Linked DNA regions of Caenorhabditis elegans. The protein of the gene in region 2 interacts with the protein of the main gene of each other region in a pairwise test. Each region holds a gene or a part of one and is shown on either strand. Other genes may lie near its edges.

Region 1 (6,968 bases), on a different chromosome or scaffold from region 2:
TTACCAAAGATACGGTTGTCAAAATGAAAATGAAAAGTGGACAACTAATTTACTTCTAAAAAGAATGCTACCTGAATTCTGCTCTTTTCAACAATGCCCATATAAATTTTCTTTGACACCTTTTTGTTATGCATATTACGGTAACATGTGATGACCCTAATTGGTTGGTTCATCTTCCCGTCGGCATATCCTTTTACGTAATAACTCGCAAATCGTTTAATTATAGAGCCAAACTAGGGATAAAAAGTCACGGTGTTCTTCCTCTCTCTTTCTTTTCACACCTTTCTTCTGGGAGCTTTGTATGTGTGCAGGTGGTGACGCAACACGTGTCTGTCTGTCATCAAGCTGTAGATTATCCGGCTGTGCATACCAAAGGTGTCAGTTGAAGACATGAACTTGAAAAATGGGATTTCTGCTACAAAAACAGGATTAAAGCTGGATGGTGTATAATTTTACAAGAAAAATAAAAAAGCGATTTCATTTTGGAATATGTACAATATTGGAAAAAAGTATACATTTTAAAAGTCAGTTTTAAAAAAAGTTTGCCTTTTAAGAACTGCAAATTGGAAAAATTGGAAAAACATGGAATAAATTATGAAATAGAATGTTATCGATTATTTTTCCAATTGCAAATTAAATTATTTCAACTGTAATGCTAATTTTGCTTCAAAAGTAATTTACTAAAAATCGTTTCTATATGATCTCAAGCAGTTATCACGAGAAGTACACAGCTTGTGCAACAATGTGAACACCACCTAAAAACATCTGAAAACATGTTTTCTGAAAATCTTCCTAATTTTTGGTGGATGATTCATCGCGTCACTATTGCTGTCTGACATCTTCATTTCCTTCTTTTCCTTCTTCCTTTTTTTGGATGTCGACGTCTTGTTCAAGTACCTCCATTCAGTTTTCTACAAAACAATATACTACGCATTTTCTTTTCTATACAACATGCGTGCGCCTCTTCATGTTCATCACCATTCATCCCAATGAATAGGAAGAGAATGGCACGTCGTCTGTCATTATGATTACGGTAAAAGCGACATCTATTTCTGAAATCAATGAAACAAAGTTTTAAATTTAAAATTATTTTTATTGTGCAAGATTATATAATATCAAAAATATAGCAACAACGCATATAAATACATACCAGTTTAGTGTTGGGATTTTTCAATTTTTGGAATAAAAAAATGAGAAGCTCATTGAGGATTGGGGAAGGAAAGAGAACAGAAGAGTCACGAGATTTTTAGATTGAAATTGAGAAAATTAAAAAAAAAATTGAGCATAGTTGAATGTCAGCTAAAGGTTATGAAATGCTGATGTCGATAAATTGTATGTAGACGGAGGATAGTTTGCAGGAGGTGCTTGGTATGCGAAGAACGGAGGCATATATGAACTCGAAGGGTACATCTGGAAAAAAAACATAGTTGAACATTGTCATCTAACGATAGCCATATAAAAAACAACTGCACAGTTCATAAGCCTGTGATTCAAAAGTGGAAAATGACAGCTGCAGTCAGAAGTGGGTCCTTCAAAAATCATTTGTGCATCTGCATCTGTTTCCAGGTGATGAGACCACATCATAACGGAACAAATTGAATTAGAATAGAGAGATAGTCACAAGTGTGTGATCCGATTCCCTATGTTAATCCTATTGGATTACCGTCACAAAATCTTATTTGTAACACGATTTTGTGATTTGAAAGTCTCAACAAATCTAAAATACGAACCTGATATGGGAATGCTTGTTGTGAGATATCCGGAAGACAAGCTGTATCAGATGAAACTGCTGATGGCATGAATGGTTTCCGATCTTCATCTTCTTCCTTCTTGATTCCAGACATCGAACTTCCAAGTGATCCACTACTATCATTGTCTCTGTCTGAATCAGTGTCCCTGTCACTATCCCGATAGCATCCACCATCCATTTTCTTCTCTTTTTCTTGTCTCTTGCACTTGTAGCGTTGATTTTGGAACCAGATTTTCACCTGAATACGGCAAATGTGAGAAACTAACAAGAAACATCGCAAATGATTAGCTTAAATTAAAAGTTCAAACCTGTGTTGCCGACAAGTTAATACTCTTCGCAAGGTTTTCCCGATCCGCGGCGCTCAAATATCTGTTGATTTGGAATTTGCGTTCCAGGACGTGAACTTGTTGAGGTGAGAAGAGAACACGTCGCTTTCTTCGTGATATCATCATATTCTGCTGTGTCGTAAGTCCCAAATTCAGCTGATTGGTTTGGAAGCGATTAACTGCAATAAATAGTGATTGTTTTATGCCTACTAAATACAATAGGATCATGGCAATAAGATCCGCGATAATTTGCCCTTCAACGGAAGTCTCAGGAAATCGACAATTTCCGTAGTCCCTTATAAAAACAATAAGAAAAATACACATGCGTGCACGTGTCAATGTATGCTAACACTTGTCTTAACTACGATACAAAAATGGCACCACAGCAAACTCTTCTACAAATATGGTCCGTTTACCAGACAATTGAGTATTCGAGAGAGACTCCCCGTGGCGTACTAAACAAATTGCTGAGAATTGGCAGACAAGCTGCCAGCAACTGAATCTAGGTTGTCCTGTACATTTAAAGATAAAAATTCAGATCAAATTGGAAGTTTTGAAAAAGTTTTCAGCAGTGAACTTGGTTTAAAGCTAAAAACTGATACGGTATCAACTACTGTATTTTTTTTGTCAGAATTGTACTTAATTGCTCCGCTTTGACAACTTAAATCTCGTTTTTAAAGCTATAAAAAATAACTAAGTACGAAACTATATATGAAAAATGACATTTACTGTAAGTTGATAATTTTGTGATAAAACAAAAAACCACCCAGATATGAGATGTCAAAGCTGTTCAATAGAATGACAATGTAAATTATTTTAAGTAGAGATATAATAGAAAATAAATTTTTGGCATTCTAAAATACTTATCAGAAAATATGATATCTGATTTGGACCCTTACTGCAATTTTTCAATTCGGAGTTCACATTTTTTGCAGATTTCCTTTTTATGATTTCCGCCATTGACCTTCCAACAATTAAAAGTTCCACCAACTAGTTTTGTCACATGTTCACGTCTACAGTACCACGACCTTCATGCCTTTAAGTTTTGGAAGCAATTCTCTCACGGTTTCAAGTAGGTGTTGTAGATTACTGATGTTACGTCACTTCCGACGCAACTTCATTGAACCCCTACTATCACCTCTCAATATGGTGTTAGTTGTTTGTTGTCCAACAAAGGAAAATAAGGGACAGACGTAGTTAGTTGAGTTGGCAAACTTGTTCATTTCCAATGTTGTGGCAACCAAGGGGAGGTACTGTAGGACGAGTTTCGTTGGAAAGACAAACATTTAGCACCACCGGCAGAAAGGGATTATATGTTTTGCAGGAAGAAGCGAAAAAAGATCTAAGAGAAAGGAAAAAGCTAGTGTGGGAACCTTTTTTACTCATAGACCAGACCTACTGTAGCTCGGGTATATGTCAATTATATCGCGCACGCTTGTTTTATATATGTATGTGTTATATAATAATCTAAATAATAAACCAAAGAATCTAGACATAAAATAATTGTTGCGAAAAATGCGAAGCGCGCAACTCAATTGAATTGACCGGACTGTAATTATTTGCGAACGGGAAAGTGAGAAAAGTCGAGAAGATGAATTTGAAGAAAAAAACTCACAATTGGCCAGTTGAGGATGCGTTGCCATTGGGTAAGGAGCGGTGGCGTAGGCCGCACTTGTGTTGTAGCTGAAGAAATATTCAGGTTTGCTAAAATTATTCGTGAATTAACTAATTAATTGGATTTTTTTGAACTTTTTTGTATTCAGGAGCGGTGGCGTAGGCCGCACTTGTGTTGTAGCTGAAGAAATATTCAGGTTTGCTAAAATTATTCGTGAATTAACTAATTAATTGGATTTTTTTGAACTTTTTTGTATTCTAAATCGAAATAAATTATATTTGCTAGAAACCATTGATGTTGAATAATTCCACATCTGGGGGACATATAATCCATCATCATACATCCAGAATTTACCTCAAATTAAAAGCATACCTTGAGAAATCATGTGGATATTGATTAGGGAAGGCAAAATAAGACATTTGTGCTGCAGTTGTAGCCGGTGCTGAGATGGAGAGAGTTGAGAAAGCATCAGTAGTTGGTGTGACAGAATTAGGGGCTGATGTGGAGGAATTGGATGATCCAGAAGACATTCTACAAATTAATTGTAGTTAAAGGCGAGAAACTGGGATTCTAAAGTTAATGTCATATTAGAATACAAAGAAAATAAAAGGAATGAATAGAAGACTCACCATGACTTTTCAAGTTAGAGTTTGAGGTAATATGGTATAGGTTTCTAGATTCTATCATTATTTTTTGGAAACAGAGAATTGAAACTGCTGCTCCAGTGCCTCGATTGGGGCGCTAAATGTGAAGGATGGGGTGTGAAGGGGAGGATGGAAGTGGCGTCCGTCCCGAAAACTACTCAAAACTCACTTAAGTTAAAAACTTGAAAAGTCATGGAGAGGACGGCCAAAGTGGCCCTTCAAGTAAACCGAGAGAATCTCTTAGAGCTCATTTACCTCTTATATGAGTGCTTGTGGAGGATCGTTCACCGTGTGCGTGTCTCCCGTGCGCCTTCAGTCCAGCCTCTCGCCCTGCTTGTCCCACCCGATAGACACGCCCACCAACCTCATTGGATGCCATGGGCGGAGACTGGGGCAAACAGAATCGAGGTATCGGAGGGGAAGAGGTATGGAAACCGAAAAAAAAGAGAAGAAATACTTGAAACCTAATTGCCCATTTTAATCAAGTGCTACCAGCTGAAAATTATAAATGAAATTGAGAATGCGTAGGAGAAGCCTAATTTCTTTACTTGAAAATCTCGAGTTCTAGACTCCCAAATAAACTCAGCTAGCAAGAAAAAAACTTCAAGTCATGTGATTTCTCCACAAGTACCTAAGTTGGCAAATTATTCAGTTATCCTAATTCTGACTAGTGTTGGAGAGTGTTGTTCTTTTTGGTAAATTATGTTGCCAACAGAATAACAGACTAAAAAAAGACCAAAGGGGCAGCGAAATAACTTGAATAGAAACCGTAAGGACAAACAGCTCAATCCTTCGCAAAATTCAATTTCTTTTCAGATAAAACTGCACCATAAGGTGAGACCATCGGCGTCGTCATTTAATTGTATGTTTGTGATAATATCTTAAATTTAAGGTTGTATATGTCTATGTCTCATTGAAAATTGTATGAGTTTTTTCTACTTCATTATTTTTTTTGGAGATATTGAGATATACTAACGTCGTATTGAATGTTGTATGCCATATTGAAACCTAATTCTGAAAAAAATCAATAAAAAAATTTTATAATAGACTGATAATTTCTCAATGGCGAGGAACTGTGTCATATTGCTGTAAATACACTGAAGATGCAGTTTACATTTTAAGTTTCCAAATAATGTTTATTGAGGGAATGGAAAAATGAACGCCTAAAACATTGAGATTTGCAAAAAGTTTCTTAACACGGGCATATATATTTTTACTGGACTTCAGTCATTCCGAAGTGTGGAATTTGAAAATTTTCCTCCCGTTTCTACTGTTTTGATATACCTAGTTTTTTTTATAAAAAGAGAAAAAACCTTTGTTCACGTAACAGCTTTTTTAAAATGTACTTTGATACTTTGCCTTATCAACTGTTTAGTTGTAAAATTAATATATTTTCAGTAAGATTCTTTCAATCGGTAAATAGTTGTTTTCTTTTTACTACCTTGCACTTTGCCTTCCTACATCCAGTTTGAACTTTTACACTTGGGAGAGAGTTCAAAACTCTCAATCATTAGTGGACAATCCAAATGTTAATGAGTTTAACGACCTTCTTTTTTTACCATGAGAAAAAAAAAGTTTGCTAAGTCAACGAAGTTGATCACACTGATAACAGTGAGCCAACAATCAATAGAGCGTGAGAGTATTAGTGTTACTTTCTCATTTTTCACCGAACCAACTTTCCATTAAAAACTCTCGTTTAATCAGATGTAGTTCTCTATTAAAATTAACTTAAAATAGTTCAAGTTTAAACTAGTGAGAGAGATTCGTTTTGATTCAAAGTTTTTATTTTCCAAATTCAATTACAGGCTACAAACAAATTTTCTTGATGTTCATAAAAATGAGTGTTAATATATTTTCACTTTTGTTTTGCTTTGTAATTACAATGAGTTGCAAAAGGCTTTAACGCAAAGTGGGAAAATCTAGATGATATAATTGAGAAATGATTTTGAATCAAGCGAAATCTGACATCAGAATATAAAAAACTTAGTGTACTGAAATAAATTAAATAGAAAAAGTACCCTGCTAAATCCACTTCAAGATGATTGAAAACAAGAGACTCGAGAATTTATGAACACTATGTGCCACATCAGGAAAACCAAAAAAAAAGTGTTGAGTTTTCCATAACGTTTCCACGGTTTTCGTCGCCCGTTCATATTTCACAAATCCTTTTCTCTCCAGTTGTCACTTTTCTGCCATTTCCCTTTCCTTCTACCTCCTTTTCCCGACAAAACACTAATTCCATTATTGAGAGAATAAAGAAGATGGCATGCACCTGTCCCGAGCAACAGGAAGGAAGAAAGACATCTGTATTCTTTTCGGGTTCGAATACCGATATTGTGAGAAAATATGTAATATACAATTCATTTCACGGAAGTGAGAAAACATTGAGTAAACAGAGATTGCGGCGAGTTTTTTGTCGTTTCCTTTTTCGGGGGTTTGCACATTTTCACACTTTCTGGAACTAAGTGTTTTGTCATTTAAATCGTTGAAGCATCTTTTCAATTCTTGAGAATACCTGGTTTCACTAGTTCAGTTGAAGTATCTCATAATCCGGTTTTCATTGACAGTTCAGTTTAGTTCAAGGTTCATATCGAACAATGATAAAACATAAGAGAAACTGGAATGAAATGAGG
Region 2 (5,434 bases):
CTGAGCCTAGGTCTAAGCCTAAACCTAAACCTAAGACTAACCCTAAGCCTGAGCCTCAGCCTGAGCCTGAGCCTGAGCCTAGGTCTAAGCCTAATACTAGGACCACTTTCTAAATAAATTCCAAAATTTTCAGGTAGCAATTTTAATTCCTCCATACGACTTCCCTACAGTAACCCTGAACACGGAAAGATCGTATCCCAACTATCACCTATTAGATACTTTCGGCGAATATGGAGGCTTCAAGTCGACAACTCGGCTGGTTTATCTTATCAATACCACAATTCTCATGGGAATTCCCTACATGATGCCCGTTTTCATTCTGTACTGGAGACATCAGATCTTCAATCAAATCAACGAAGTTCAGACACATTTGAGTGAACGAACCAAGAAATCGTCGTTGGATTTGGTGAGGGTGAGTGGTAGGAGTAGGCTTGCCTGCCTAGTAGGTAGGCAAACAAGCAGGCAACTTTCCAATTTTTCCAGGCACTCACAATGCAGGCAATGTTCCCGATGGTATGCCTTCTTCCCAATGTTGCATACTTCCTTGTGGCGCAGGTGAGATAGGCAGGCAGGCAGGCACGCCTAGCCCATTGAAAAATTTCCAGCGAATCCACATCGAGTTCGAGATTGCCGAGTTCGTGCCGTTTCCAACCTGCGTCATCCCGTGCCTCATCGATCCGATTCTAACGATCTACTACGTTGCACCATATAGGAGTTTTGTGACGCGGCGGCAGAGAAGTGTCTCGATTGGGGTGACGTTGTCCGTGGCGCAGTCTTCCGCGAGGACTATTTGATTTTTTTTAAATATTAATAAAGTTTATTTCAATTGTTATTTATGAGACACATAAATAGTAATCCAGGAGATCAGTGCAGTACAATATTCAAAGGGGGAGAAAGGCAATAGGTAGGGGGTATAAAAATATTACAAAAAATTCACAAACTTTGGAATTCATTTTTGAGCTCTTGTGGTTGTCCTGGCATCATCATTTGCTGCTGTTGCCACCAAAACTCGTATTGTTTTTGATAATACATATTCCAAGCTAATTGAGCATTATTTTGAACTTCGAAATTGTAATTCTGAGCACTTGCAAACTGTGGCTGGTAGTTCTGCGGAGCCACAAAATTCTGGTTGAAATAATACGGGGTTTGCTGTGGGAGATCTATTTGCGGTGAGATTGTCGGTGGGGTTACCAATTTGCTGCGTTTGGGCGGAGAGTTTTCAGAATTTTCAGAGTCTGAAGAAAGCCGTCTCTTGCCATTCGAACGAAATCCGGATGCAAATTTATTGTGATGAACCTTGAGGTTTTTGAGGATTTCGTTCTGGAAAAGGGTACAATTTTGTAGAGAATATATGTATGTAGTTGGTGAAAAATTTCTAGTTGTGGGTAATTGAATTTGCTACATTTTTTTATTTTTTAGTTGACAAAATTTTAATAGCGTAGTTTCAATCCGGCACTTAATGAAAACTTAATGCTTTTTCCGAAATTGCCATGCCGAATAAATTTACCGAATTTGACGTGCTCGACAAATATTTTGAAAAAGTCGATTTGCGGCCTAAGCTTAAGCCTAAGACTAAGCCTAAGCCTAAGCCTAAGCCTAAGCCTAAGCCTAAGCCTAAGCCTAAGCCCAAGCCCAAGCCCAAGCCTAGGGCTAATCAGTGATGGGCAGCGAACATGCTTTCTTGGCGAACGACGAATTCGGCAAATTTGTCTATGCAGTTTTTTAAGTTTTCCAGGTTTTTTCTGAAGGTTTTTTCCTGTATAATGGCGTAAGCCTAAGCCTAAGTCTAAGCCTAAGCCTGAGCCTAATCCTAAGCCTAAGCTTAAGCTTCAGCAAATGGCAACTTTCGGCAAGTTTTTCAGTATTTTTTTAATTTTGAATTAGATGCTTTCTATATGTCTACATTTATTTTTGATTTGAAAAGTTGGAATAGCGCTTCGAAATTTACAGTTTTGGAAACTTGAAAATATGCTCTCCAACTTTAAACTACTTCATCTCCGTTGATAGTGACGCGATTAAAATGTTTTCAACTTTTTTCAACAAATTGTTGCAAATTTAATTTCCCACACCCTTTCAAATAACTAACCTGATAAGCAGTGACCACCATAAATTCAGTAGCCTCCAACCGGAACTGCTCCCCACTAAAATCCTCTTGATACCCTGTCTTATAATGTCGGACCTGTTTAACAGTGACCACTGGAATGTGCTTATGCATACTCTGCACTAAAATGACCTTCTGATCCTTGATTTCCGGGTTATTCGTGATTTTGATGTGAGCAAACGAGACGGGCTCACTCATCCATTCTGCTCCAGTACGCTTGCCACGCGGATGCTCCTTGTATTGGATTGGAAGAATCGGATCTCCTTTGGCGAATTCTTTCCATTCTCCTGCGTCGAATTTGTATCTGGAAATGAGTTCAAGTTTTTGAAATTGGAATCGTCCTATAGGTTATAACTCTGAAAGTATACCAGCTATCAAAAAGTTGTCAATTTAGAAATTGTAGCAAATTTAATTTTCTACAATTTACCAGTTGAAAATTTTTTTCTATCTTTTAACCCAACTCACTTAATCCCGTCAACACGTTCCAAATGAATATAAATCGAGTAGAGACTGCCTGGATCCAATCCCTTGATGATATAGTCCAAATGCGGAAAAATCACCCTTCCACGGTTTCTCGTCACAATCATTTCGGTTTTCGGGTAGAACTCTTCCCAAATTTCTGGTGTGCTCAAGGAGACTTTAATTCCGGATGGGGAGGTGCACGAGTACATGGTAATGCTGTAACAGGGGGAGTTATAGGAGTAACAGAAGCACAAAAAAGTGAGACCGGAAGTAGAGCAACAAAAATCTAATTGTAATAAAAGTGCTAACCACTCTCACTAATTCTGTAAAACTGAGCCGGTAAGTGGGCGGAGCCGGAAGGGGCTGGGCCACACGTAGGGGTGGACACGTGGCAAGTGGAGCACAACTTGGCACATATGAGCGTGTGGCCATGGGAGATGTAGCGCACGGCGGCCTTGGGTGCAGGCTTAGGCTTAGTCTTTAGGTTTAGTCTTAGGCTTAGTCTTTAGGTTTAGGTTTAGGCTTAGACATAGACATAGGCTTATGCTCAGGCTTAGGCTTAGAGTTATGCCTAGGCTTAGGTTTAGGCTCAGTCAGGCTTCTGCTTGGGCTTAGGCTTACAATTAGGCTTAGGCTTACACCTTTGAACAAGAAAAAACCTTCAGAGAAAACCTGGAAAACTGGAAAAACTGCATAGGCAAAGTCGCCGAATTCGCCGTTCACCAAGAAAGCCTGTTCGCCGCCCATCCCTTATTAGGCTTAGGCTCAAGCTAAGGCTTAGGCTTAGGCTCAGGCTTAAGCTTAGACCTCAGCTCAGGCTCAGGTTTAGGCTAAAGCATAGGCTTAGGCTTTTTGAATTCACACCAATATAATAATGACCTAGAAGGATCACACGCGAAGTATATCCAAAATAACTGTAAAATCGGAACACTCATTAAACTGCGAGCCAATGTTGGTGTCTGATTCTTGAACACCTCTTCCTCCAACTGAGCATCTCTATGGTCTTCAGCAATCTAGAATGTGTAGTTCACACTTCAAAAGTATACCTCCACCCACACCTTGACACCTCACACTCTAGTGATAGCGGTGCGCAGTTTTGAATTGGCTCGGAAGGAGAAGATGTGTCGGGCTCAGCGGGAGGGCTGGTGCATTTTGAAATTGGTTAGAAACACAAGAAATTGATTATAAAAATAATTTTATATTTTGTTTTTCATACATTTTTCAATAGCTTCATACTTAAACGTTACTATTAAATGTACATTTCTTCCAGTAATTTTTACTGCAAATATGAGATTTTTCAAGTAATAATAACGGTTCAAAAACGGTTCGAAACACTTGGCAAAATACTTTATAGCAAAGTATAAGCGGCACATGTCTTTGAGCCGTAACACAACTCTCTGCCATGTATGGTACGCCACGTGGTTTGGAAAACGAAAGACACACGATATTGTGGGAAACTTGGAGGACATCTGGAAAATTAAAGAAAAAAACAATATCGATTAGGAATTTAGGAATAGTTGGAAAACGATTTACAAACTTTTTGATAGCTTTGATAACAATTTAATCACGAAAATTATAATAAAAAATTATTGAAAAAAATTTACAAAAAAAAAAAGAAATTTTTCGCGTCAAAAACAAAAAAAAAAAAAAAACGCTATAAAAAAGTTGTCAACTATCAAAATGTAGAACATAAAATTTACAATTTTTGGATAGTTTACAACTTTAATAACAATTTAGTTACGCAAGTTTAAAACAATTTAAAAATGTTCGCGTCAAAAATAAAAACAATTGTTATCGCAATGGTCAATCAATAAATCATCAAAATCAATAAATCAATAGAAAGAAAATAAATTCATTAATTGATAATTCACACTTCAAAGGGATCAATTTGAATTGAAAACGAAATGAGTTCAAATTCTTCGAATTCTTCAAATCCTGCTGCAACAGATGCTCCAAAGGTAAGTGGAAATTCAGATGATTCTTTAAAATGCCTCTACCTTTTCAGAAAACTTCCGTTGAACCGGGTTCGGAAGCCAACAATTGGCATATCACGGAGGCCGATGAGAAGGGATTCAAGTTGACCGATATGATCAAGAAACTTCTGAAGCCTGTATTCTCGAAAGCCATTATGTTTGATGTAAGTAAAGGAGACTCTATACCGGCCTGCCTGCTTCACCTGTGCCTGCCTACATGCCTTCCCATTGCCTATCTGAATCATCCCTGCATATTTACCTGCCTGCCTCATACCTGCCTAAATGTTTAACCACTGCATTCCTACCTATTCTCTACCTGCACCATCCCTGCGTTTCTAAGCGGTTGCCTGCCTACCTACCCACGCCCCTGCCTGTCTATTTGCCTCCATGCCTACCTACGTTCCTAATGTCTTTTTTTCAGGAAAAAGAGATCCATGTGCTGTTGACACGTGTCTTCAAGTACTACACATCTCCACCGAACAAGAAAACTGCACCATCTGCTTCAGCATCTGCAACCACATCTATGAGCCCTCCAAAACCGGCTGCAAATGCTCTTTTGGAACTTCAAGCTCCGATCAACATTTGTGGAGATACCCACGGGCAGTACAACGACTTGCTTCGTATTTTCAATGTAAGTCCTTACCTGCCTGCCTACCATACCAACTGCATGTGTGCTAAGCTGTTCTATATGTTCCCTTTCAGGCCTGCGGAGCAGCGACAAAAACTCAATACCTCTTCCTCGGGGACTACGTGGATCGTGGAGGTCACTCATTGGAAGTCATTATGCTTCTCTTCTCACTCAAATTGGCAATGCCCAGAAAGATGCATTTGTTGAGAGGAAATCATGAGTTGAAGGCCATCAACAAGTAAGCACATGTTAGTAGATCTGACACAAAAT
Region 3 (3,923 bases), on a different chromosome or scaffold from region 2:
ATTCGTTCAATTGGCGTTCCACAAACTAGAGTACATTGAACAAAACTAACTTTAAGAATTAGATCTAACATGGAGGAAAAAGAAAATGCCAGTCATCACTCCCTAGTTTACTACAGGCAGGGGACACTAAAAAGGATTACTGTGATGCGCAGAAATACTAACATTTCCATAGAAACCTAGTAACTAGGTGAATCAGTATTTCAATATTGATTAAAGGAAATAATTCCGTTCACATTTTTTAAACCTTGTTTCTGTAAAACGCGTGCTAAACCATTAACTCAGTTAGATAAAAAAGTTTCGATAAAATATTCTCCTCTTGAAACATTATATGTGCCTTCCAAAGAACATTAGCAGTGAACAGTTTTTTGTGCTACCTGAAAATTTACTAATTTCCATACTTCTAACGTTTGTATAACTAATTCTGAAACTGATAAAACTCTGTTAACAAGTTTAGTTGCAACAAGTTTTTCAATTAAAATGTGGTTACGAAGTAATTAAAAATTAATACCGGTTAGTCACTTTCTGACCGATGACAATTAATGCAGACATGCTTATGACTCTTTGCTATATTTTTTGTTTTACTCTTAATGGGTTCCAGAGTTGCTTTGATGGGTTCCAGTAATAATCAAATAATACTCGTTGAATTAGCGTCCGACTTACTGGAGATCATAGAATTCATTTGATTTTCACAGAAATCACTTGAAGATTTATGTTTAATATTGTGACATCGAATCGAATATTTCCTAGACCTATAGTATCGAACTGTTATATCAAACCACAATCAGAACTAATTTAGACAAGTTGATTATGTGTCCAATATTGCATCTATTGGAACAATAGGATTTATGAAAGTTAACAATAAATGTTGAATGCATAAATAGACAAATCAAGTAAAATTATTCTAAAGGTAATTTTCAAACATTTCCACGTGCCACTGACACTCAAACCAACCAATAGTTGTTGGAGTATTTCTTAAAATTTTTGAAAAGAACATTGAACAGTTTTAACATTTATTTGGCAATTCAAACAGCAAGAAAAAACATGGTATATTAAATTGATTAGTAGTACAAAAGGTATACAAAAGCTTACATATTAACTCAATATGGTCTTGGATATCCTGGATACTGTCCGGGTGGAGGTGGAGGATATTGCCCTGTTGGTGGTGGTGGGTACATACCGGCTGGCGTGGCTCCGGTTCCAATTTGATATGGCTGCTGTTGTGGATAGCCTGGTGTGCTTGAGTATCCTGGGTTGCTTGGATACATGTTAGTTTGATAGGGTTGCTGTGGAAGTGGAGGTGGTTGTTGGTTGTACGCCGAGTATCCTTGGGTTGGGAGTGGTGGGGCTTGTTGGACATATCCACTAGGATTCACTCCAGCACCGATTCCCATAGGTGGTGGGGGTGCATATGTGGCTCCGTAAGGTCTTGGTGGCGGTGGAGCATATCCAACTCCGGCGCCAACTGGTGGTGGAGGGGCTCCATATGGAAGAGGCATAATTGGAGTAACACCGAAGCCAACTGGGGAACGATAAGAACCGTCACTAGAGGAAGAACTTGAGGAGGAAGAACTGCACGTGCGACGGCCGTACATCTGAAGAAAAAGTGTAAGTTGAGGGGTTTAAAAGGGAAAAAAATCAAACAGAAAGGTTGAAAAACGATCGATTGTGAGTTGTTAGTTTGCGATCCGCCTATTGCCTCAAAAACGAGAAGGTTTCACAATGTGATACGGTTATCAGTTTGCATTGTCAGAAGAAGTTTCTCGTTTTTCCATAGAGAAGAGCAAACAATGACGTATATGGAAACGAATGAACAAAAAAGAAACGAGGGCGTTTTCAGTGTATATTTTGAAACTTTCTTTGCAATCCATGAGTCATGAGGATAGATCATGGACATGACCTTCTGGATGATTCAATGGGAAGGAAGATTACATTCATTTGAATTTATAATAGGAATAATATCGAAATGTCAAACTGGAATGCCAATCAAATACAAACGTCAAAAAAATTATCAGGAAGAATGGAAAAGATCAGGGCAATATTTTAAAATTCAAAACTTTTTCTTGAATTAAGCCAGTCTGCTCTCCGTCGGTCTTGTTGTAAGTTAAATCCAAGCTTCGCTCGACTTTTCAGGAAAGACTGGCTGTAGTCTGGAGGTAAGAAATGCTGACCTTAAGTTTGACCGCGACAACCATCCAGACTGAGCCATCCGGACAACTTTCAACCCTATTGGGTCTGTAAGTTTCTTTTACAATTTTAACAGACTTTTGAAACTCAATTACGATTTAATTTTGTTTTTCAACTTCAATGAATTTTATTGTGTATTAGTTCTTGAATCCGTGTAATTTTAATAACTATTTCAGTCCGTTTTGCAAACCAGAAAGGCCGATCAATACACTTCCTAGCTAAGATTTTCTGCGCCTATGCATTTCGCACCTGTTCTATTCCGAACATGTTTGCGGATCAGTTCTCTGACCACCTAGTGTCTTCACATGATTTTGACATTGGAAACATGTGGCCGAATGGTCTAGTGGTATGATTCTCGCTTTGGGTGCGAGAGGTCCCGGGTTCAATCCCCGGTTCGGCCCATTCCTTTTACTCTTTTAAGCATTTTCAGCATGTAACTTTGAAAACTTGTATTTTGATCGAATCGTGAGACACATTCAGTAAAATTATGGGGAATTGTAAGAAAAGGCTTTGAATATTTTTTTATGTATTATTAATGTATTTGATCGCGGAATACATTCATATTTACATCATCTTCTACGAGTTTAACAATTTGTGAAAATTATAATAATTATGAAAAGTAATTTGAATTATATTAAAACAATTTCTCACGATTAGCAATTTTGATTGTTAGAAATCCTATTCCTAACCAAAACTTTCGAAAAAGTCATACTCTGCATTTTCAAGGTCAATGCTTACTGCGTTCAGAGTTTTCTTGTTTAGTAGAGACGCAGATAGACTTGTTTATTGGTTTGTGACTAGTCGACCACACGCAGAGCGCTATTCACGAGAGCGTGCATGTGTAGGAAGAGGCGTTCACGACGAGACGTGGCCGGATGGTCTAGTGGTATGATTCTCGCTTAGGGTGCGAGAGGTCCCGGGATCGATCCCCGGTCCGGCCCACTTACTTTTTTCCTTGTAGCGAATGGTTATATGCTTTTGATGTATTATGCATATGGTTATTTCAGGAAAACTACAATACATATCAGCTCGAAACGTGGCCGGATGGTCTAGTGGTATGATTCTCGCTTAGGGTGCGAGAGGTCCCGGGATCGATCCCCGGTTCGGCCCGCTTAATTTTTTGATGTATTTTGTTAAGTGTTTTTATGATTGTTTGGAATTATAAAAATTTAGTTGATATTTGCGAATCTGAATAAAAAATCAATACAATTTTAATAATCATTTTTGAATCTCTCATGACAAACTTTATAGAAAACAATTCTCTATTTACAAAACCGGAAAAGCAACACAAGGTATAAAAAATGAACACTTAAATATTAAAATAGCATAATGAATTAAACCCGAGATAACATGTAACAAAGTTTAACTTTGGTTCAACGAAATACCCATAAATAATGAGAATGTGACTGCTAAGCTCTACTAAAACCTGGAACTAAAAATCAGGCGTAATCTGTGAGTTTAGCCTTGTTCTCAGAAACTTTCACAGGACATTTGTTGCAGCATCTGCAGACAGCAAAACAAAGTACAGCAAAGATGAGAAAAGTGAACGAAACTCCGACGGCGATGATTTTCAGTGAAGAATTTATCAACTTTTCTTGCATTACAGCAATCCTCGTCTCAGCAAACGCTTCTCGGCCTGAAATGCAATAGTTTGAGTAGGACAAACGATGAACGTTATTGCATATTGCGTAACGAAAAAAAGGGATTTACAATATACAAGTCAATAAATAAAAGTTAGC
Region 4 (5,880 bases), on a different chromosome or scaffold from region 2:
TAGCTTTTTGTTACCTCGAAATGTCTGTTTGCTTTGTCTTCAAACACTTCTGATTTTACTTTTTTCTTACTTTGATCACTGATCAAAAAAGATATTTCTTGCACGCCAACAGAGTCAGGAGAGAAATTCAAATTTCTGTCGGCACGACAAAGGTCGCGGTTCCCATGAATCATTAGAACACGAATGACCTCAAACTCTTCTATCTGTGCAATGAAATAGTTTTAACATGATGTCATGATAAAAAGTACTTTTTTGAAAGCGGAAAGTTGGTCGGCCCTATCAAAGATGAGATAGAGGATGAAACGATCTGTAAAAAAGCAGCTGTAGATAAAAGTACTGAACATGTATGTGTGTATTGTGAAGTACAATGACTACGACTAAAGAACTTAGAATTCCAACTTACAAGATGCGCTTTAAAATTATCAATCCGAATAAAAAGCGTTGCAACAAAATTTCAGAAATCAGCAAGTGTCGAAGGAATTTTTTTCGTAATTTTTGAAATTTCTAGAAATTTTTTTTGGAGTTCTTCAAAACAGTTCTTCAAAAATTTCTCGAGCGTTTTTGTACTGTTTAAGACAGAGATTTCTAATACTTTTGACTCTCCAATATTATTTCAAAGCATAACAACTTACTTTTTTCAAAGTTGCCTACTGAACACCTACACTACACTACCCTAATTCATTCTACTAATTTTAACCATTAACCTTTCAAAACACAACAAAAACTCTTTAAAAAAACAGATACTACATACAAAGGAGACAAACTATTATTTTATATCCAAGTAATACAATTCAAATTTTTGGAAATTTTGTAAGTTTTCGTTCTTCAAGCAGAATAAAAGTTTTCTGATATTTCTGCAGTTGATGGAATTTGAACATTTGTTTTGAAATTTCATCTTAAATATTAGTATATGTATGTATGTGAAAAGAGTAGCTTTGCTACCATCATAATCTGTTGGAAAATGGTCTTTTACACATCAAAAAGTTTCTATCATTTTTGTATTGTATGTATTCATAATGTAAATTTATTACTCAATAAATAATTATTTAGTGAAAGAGAAAGGATTGATGAACTGAATTATCATGTGCTCGAAGATAGTTTATAAAATACACAGAATGACACATAATAAACATATAGGGTATGAAAAATAAAATATATACGAAGGGCGATGAATCAAAAATCAAGTGTGAAGAGATAGAGTCAGTGATGAGATGAAAAATGTGTTGAGGTTGAGTTGAATTGCACAGGGGGTGAGTCTAAATTAGTAATAAGGTGTTCACATGTTCTGCGCTTGAGCCGACGCATTCAAGTTTTGCTGTGCCTGAAGTGTACCAAAACCGAAAAGAAACCGCGCGGCGGCAGTTGCAGAAGCATCCATTGGAGATGAAATCATATTTCTCATGTTCACACCAGCACTGGTCGTTGGGATCGTAAGGATTCTGAAATATAAAATTTAGAATTAATTTCATGAAACAGTAAACTCACGGAGATGTAAGAGCTGTGGTTGCTGGAATCGAAAACACATTAGCTCTATGCATCTGCAGGGAAATGTTCGTGTCATCAGTCTGAGCTTGTCTCTTGAACTTGTTTCGTCGATTTTGGAACCAAATTTTCACTTGGGTCTCCGTCAAGTGCAGCTTCTGTGCTAAATTTGATCTCTCTTGACTGCTCAAATATCTTTTGCATTCGAACATCATTTCCAATTGGGACACCTGAATGAAAGTATTATTTGAGTTCGGAATGTACAATTTCTGATACCTGACTCCTGCTGAAGACGGTTCTGGTTTTCTTCTTTCTATTTTGTGATGGATCGCTAGAGTTGGCTTCATCATCGCTTCCACGGCCAACTGAAATACAGTTTATGGACACTTTTGTGGACACATTTTTAAATTCAACTCACTATCATCGTCATCTTCTGCGTCAGACTCCAGCGGGCTGCCACCAGTGGAATCCCTGGTCTCCCCATCTTTTCCCTCCGATTTTTCATCCTTCTCTTCTCCATTGTCTGATTGAATATTAACATCTGTAAGGAAACACATTTTCAACAATTACTTAATTCCTGACAGGCATATTAACCATATTGCATTAAGATACTTCCATTGACAGGCCACAATTATAACACATCCCCCCGTGGTCCATCGGTTAATTATCTCAATGGACGGGGGATTACTAGGACACGGGTGTCGGTCAAAATGACACCTTTATAAATAGATGTCTCTATATTAAGAACTACCTTTAGTTTTCAATACTGATTCTTCGTTGACTAATTAGAATCTCTTAAAAACCGAAGTGTAGCCGCTTACGTTACGAATATTGACGACTAAAAATGTGCGCTCATGCGTATGCCTGATTTTTCATGCGAAATGGAAAAGGCTCATTAGAATAAGAGATTTCTATTGCTGTTTTGATCATTTCACATGTTATCAAAAACAAATCAGTGGCAAAACCACATGTATCAACAGAGTCAGCGTAATAAAACAGCGTGATGATGTTATTTTACAATACGCTGATTTGCTTTGCCAAATCAACTGAGCGGAAAACTTAATGGCTTAAAGTTGGACCTGTGAGGGGAAATAATTAATCAGCATTTTTGTAATGTTAAAATGGCTTAATATCAAAATAAAACTGTTTTTAAAAAAATTTTGAGCCAAAAATTAGGTAAAAGCGGACTATGAGTTTTCAATGTTCTTTGACTAAAAATAAATTTTATTTAAAACATTTTTGAAATGTTTTAGTATGACATTTGGTAATTCCCTACAGGCCACATTTCATTATTAAAAACTTTGAATCTGAAAAAAAAAGTTGTTTCTCTATAATTTTTAATTGAATGTATTTATTTTTAGAATCAAAATAAAAGTCAAGGACCTGACACGCGTCACCGAGCTCATGGGGTTTAGTATTCTCACGTTATTAACTTATTGCTGTTTGAGCACATCCTTTCAAGAATCAATGAATACCGCGTGTGGTGTTACCCAACAAAAGATAATTAGTTGAGTTCAACACAGGCGAGCGATTCTGATTCTTATCCTAAGAAAGGAACTGCATCCGCCGACAACCTCCCCCCTCCTTTTTCCATATGTTCATCCAATACCGTTGTTCAACTTGTTAATGAGTCCAGACTTGGCTAATTCGAGACCATACAATAACAATGGGTCAGAAAATGAATTAGTTACTGTATTAAGGGGTGTTCTGAGATTCGGAGAATAAAGAGAACCGACCGAAAATTATAGTGGTAAACGGAACACTGTTTTGAATGAAATGAAATATGGTAGGATTCTTTCACACATTAACTAATGACAGACTAAGGAGAGAGGAAGTTGGGTAATATCTACTGACCTGGGTTGCTCATGTTTTTGAAGTGCATTAGTTGAGCAGTCGGAAGTCCAAAGAATGGGAACATGGTAAGTGGTGAGATCATGTTTTGTTGATTGCCGACGTTCAAGAAAGTTTGCTGAAGTTGCAGGAGGGCAGAAATCGGATTCATTTTTGGATCAAAATTGAAATTAAACGCCGTTTGCTCAATTTCATTGGTGCTATCCTCTGAAGATGCCGACGGGGAACTTTGTGTAGTTCTGAAAGTTTAATTTTATACAAATAAAAGGAAAATAAATGAAAATGTTCAACTTACGGTTTTCTGTCATCTTCCAGCAACTCAGAAATATTGAATTTAATCTTATTATCTGAACTTGGCTTCATCTCTTCTTCCTCTTCTTCCTCCATCAGTTCAATCTTTGGAAGTTGTGACATTTTTTCGAGACGTTCTTGCGAGCTCATTGTCGTCATATCAATAGGGAGATTCATAACTGAAGTCGGCATGTTTGAGAAAAATAGAGTCAACTGAGGGCTAATCGAGAATACTAATGAGTAGCCCCGCCCCACCATTCAAGACTACGGTAGCTGGGCGAGCGTTCGCGGATAAATGGGGTGTAGGAAATGGGAAGGAGAGGAGTAATAATGAAATGATGACCAAGTCAAATTATTGTCTTTGGTAGTGTTAAGAAAACGGATATCAAAACTATATAAACAATGGTTGACCAATAGGAAAACGACTATGAATACAGTTGAGAGAAGTTTAGCAGAATCTGAGGATCTCGAAGAACTCCCTGCTTGCTTTTCCGCTAATGTGTTAAGTGATCAAGCAAAACAGAGATGTTTCTAGGCAATACGCCCTGTCCAACTTAATGTCTAATTCGTTTAAGTGGATTACTATGTTTGGTTAACACCATTAATCACAACAATTAACCGTTTTTTTTCCGCTGAGCGACTCTATCAATTGTTTCAAAATTGATGATCAATTGATTTTGTAATGTAGGTTCAATGTATATTCCAACGAGAATGCCAAAAAGCTAATCAGTTATGCTTTAAGCAAAACATTATTAATTTAAATATGAAATTCGAGATGTTAGTGGATCGTTGTTGCTATGCGAACGCACGGGTCAAGCAGCAGCTTATCCGCGGTTAGTGTCGAATTCGGAGTGCAAAAGGTAATAATGAGGAATGATGGAAACAGGAGAGATATCTAATATAGGCTCGATGAGCAAAACACTCAGGATCATTGTTCACTTGAAATGTGTTCGAATACCGTAACTCCTTGAATAGTACTGTACCACACTATTTGAAACGTTATATCTGTGTTCAGTATCAAAGATAAGAAACTACAAACCGCTAAAAAAAATTGACAAGTACTTTGTTCGTGTTAAGCTGGTAAAGATGGAAACTGGGTTGAAATCCTAATAGGGAAAATACGGTAAATGGTTTGATATTTTGATGTACAGGAAGTTGAAAAGAGTACTGCCAATATTGTGATGACATCTTTTAAACTACTTTTTTCCATACTTTCCAAAAAAATCATTTTTGGCTGAAAAAAGAACACTCGTATTACTGTTAATTTTCAGAATGGGGGTTTAATTTACAAATGAAAATTTTAGACGAGATTTCTGATACCTTAGAGAACCCATGCAAAACTGAGGGAAAAGAGATGAATCAAGAGTCGATGGAAGTGAATCGGAAACTATCACATGAAGTCTTATGAAGCTTGAAAAAAAGTTCGAAGCAAACAAGTAATCACGAAATGTGTTTTTTTTCCTGATTAACCCTTGAGAGTCCAATGACGAACATTTGAAAAAAAAATCAAGTTTTAGTTTTGATCAAACGCAAAATAAAACGAGTTGAGGTGAGCACAGCCGTATTGAATGAACGTCCACAGCTCCACCCACTTCCATGATATACGGTAATTGGGACCCAAGACGCTTACCCGCCCGCTCTCATGTGTTTGTGTGCGCGCTCGTTTGGTTTCAAATAGGGAGGGGGGAGAAAATAATTCAACACAATCTCATTAAAACCGGTAATAGTAAAATAAGGCGACGACGTATTTGTACAGAATAATATGGTCGAGGAAAAACATGCACACACGTAATGGCTGATAGTAGTGGCGTTCATAGAAATGAGCTGAAAATGAGCAGAAATGAAATGAAAGATGAGGATGAGAATGAGAAAATGGAATTGATATTTTCCACATTATTTCCCATTATTCTCTTAGAGGTTTTGTTATGTAAAACATCACAAAATGGATTTAATACGACGACTCACAACGTTCTCAAGCCAATGTGCAACACTGTAGAAGGTGTGAAATGTTGGTGTCTGTTGCTCACATCTAAGGAAAACGACACCGGAAGTGTTTGTCTAACAAATTTGTCCATTAGCGCAATCTGCCTTGTTTTAGTACCTATCGCTATAGTCATACGATACAGAATAATGGAATAAGTGACCTGTTGGTAATGTTGGGGCCAGATTGCGCAAAAACAACCGTTTTGGGAAACATTTCTTTACATCCGGTTTGCAATAGACACCTGCTAAATTGTAAGGTGCGAATGACCCGGA

What was found.
Region 1: the proteins of tbx-38 (region 2) and ceh-27 interact in a two-hybrid assay, tested with the Caenorhabditis elegans proteins (one large-scale study listed by BioGRID).
Region 3: the proteins of tbx-38 (region 2) and C16B8.3 interact in a two-hybrid assay, tested with the Caenorhabditis elegans proteins (one large-scale study listed by BioGRID).
Region 4: the proteins of tbx-38 (region 2) and mls-2 interact in a two-hybrid assay, tested with the Caenorhabditis elegans proteins (one large-scale study listed by BioGRID).

The regions. Positions count from the first base shown.
Region 1 is NC_003283.11:11,660,477-11,667,444, forward strand, and holds ceh-27 (Homeobox domain-containing protein), read right to left. Parts: upstream 4,627-6,968; 5' UTR 4,591-4,626; exon of another isoform or gene 4,458-4,590; intron 4,223-4,457; 5' UTR 4,222-4,222; coding exon 4,064-4,221; intron 3,760-4,063; coding exon 3,692-3,759; intron 2,256-3,691; coding exon 2,059-2,255; intron 1,989-2,058; coding exon 1,731-1,988; intron 1,411-1,730; coding exon 1,300-1,410; 3' UTR 1,073-1,299; downstream 1-1,072.
Region 2 is NC_003281.10:11,783,281-11,788,714, forward strand, and holds tbx-38 (T-box protein 38), read right to left. Parts: upstream 2,782-5,434; 5' UTR 2,773-2,781; coding exon 2,567-2,772; intron 2,545-2,566; exon of another isoform or gene 2,465-2,544; intron 2,406-2,464; coding exon 2,087-2,405; intron 1,321-2,086; coding exon 934-1,320; 3' UTR 802-933; downstream 1-801. Other genes in the region: srd-74 (Serpentine Receptor, class D (delta)), read left to right, coding at 134-412, 484-555, 606-794; C24H11.1 (Serine/threonine-protein phosphatase), read left to right, coding at 4,468-4,521, 4,569-4,700, 4,958-5,167, 5,239-5,402. UniProt on the Caenorhabditis elegans protein: Transcription factor. Required for mesodermal induction, acting redundantly with transcription factor tbx-37. Together with tbx-37, acts by inducing cell fates in the AB lineage, thereby playing a role in development of the anterior pharynx.
Region 3 is NC_003284.9:3,967,043-3,970,965, forward strand, and holds C16B8.3 (Annexin A7), read right to left. Parts: upstream 1,593-3,923; coding exon 1,098-1,592; downstream 1-1,097. Other genes in the region: C16B8.4 (Fibronectin type-III domain-containing protein), read right to left, coding at 3,624-3,820.
Region 4 is NC_003284.9:4,757,797-4,763,676, forward strand, and holds mls-2 (Homeobox protein mls-2), read right to left. Parts: upstream 3,845-5,880; 5' UTR 3,817-3,844; coding exon 3,629-3,816; intron 3,573-3,628; coding exon 3,337-3,572; intron 3,099-3,336; exon of another isoform or gene 2,900-3,098; intron 2,024-2,899; coding exon 1,901-2,023; intron 1,848-1,900; coding exon 1,759-1,847; intron 1,713-1,758; coding exon 1,486-1,712; intron 1,440-1,485; coding exon 1,277-1,439; 3' UTR 1,008-1,276; downstream 1-1,007. UniProt on the Caenorhabditis elegans protein: Transcription factor that binds to the promoter of target genes. Regulates fate specification and/or differentiation of multiple cell types arising from the embryonic mesodermal (M) lineage and the ABp(l/r)paa precursors.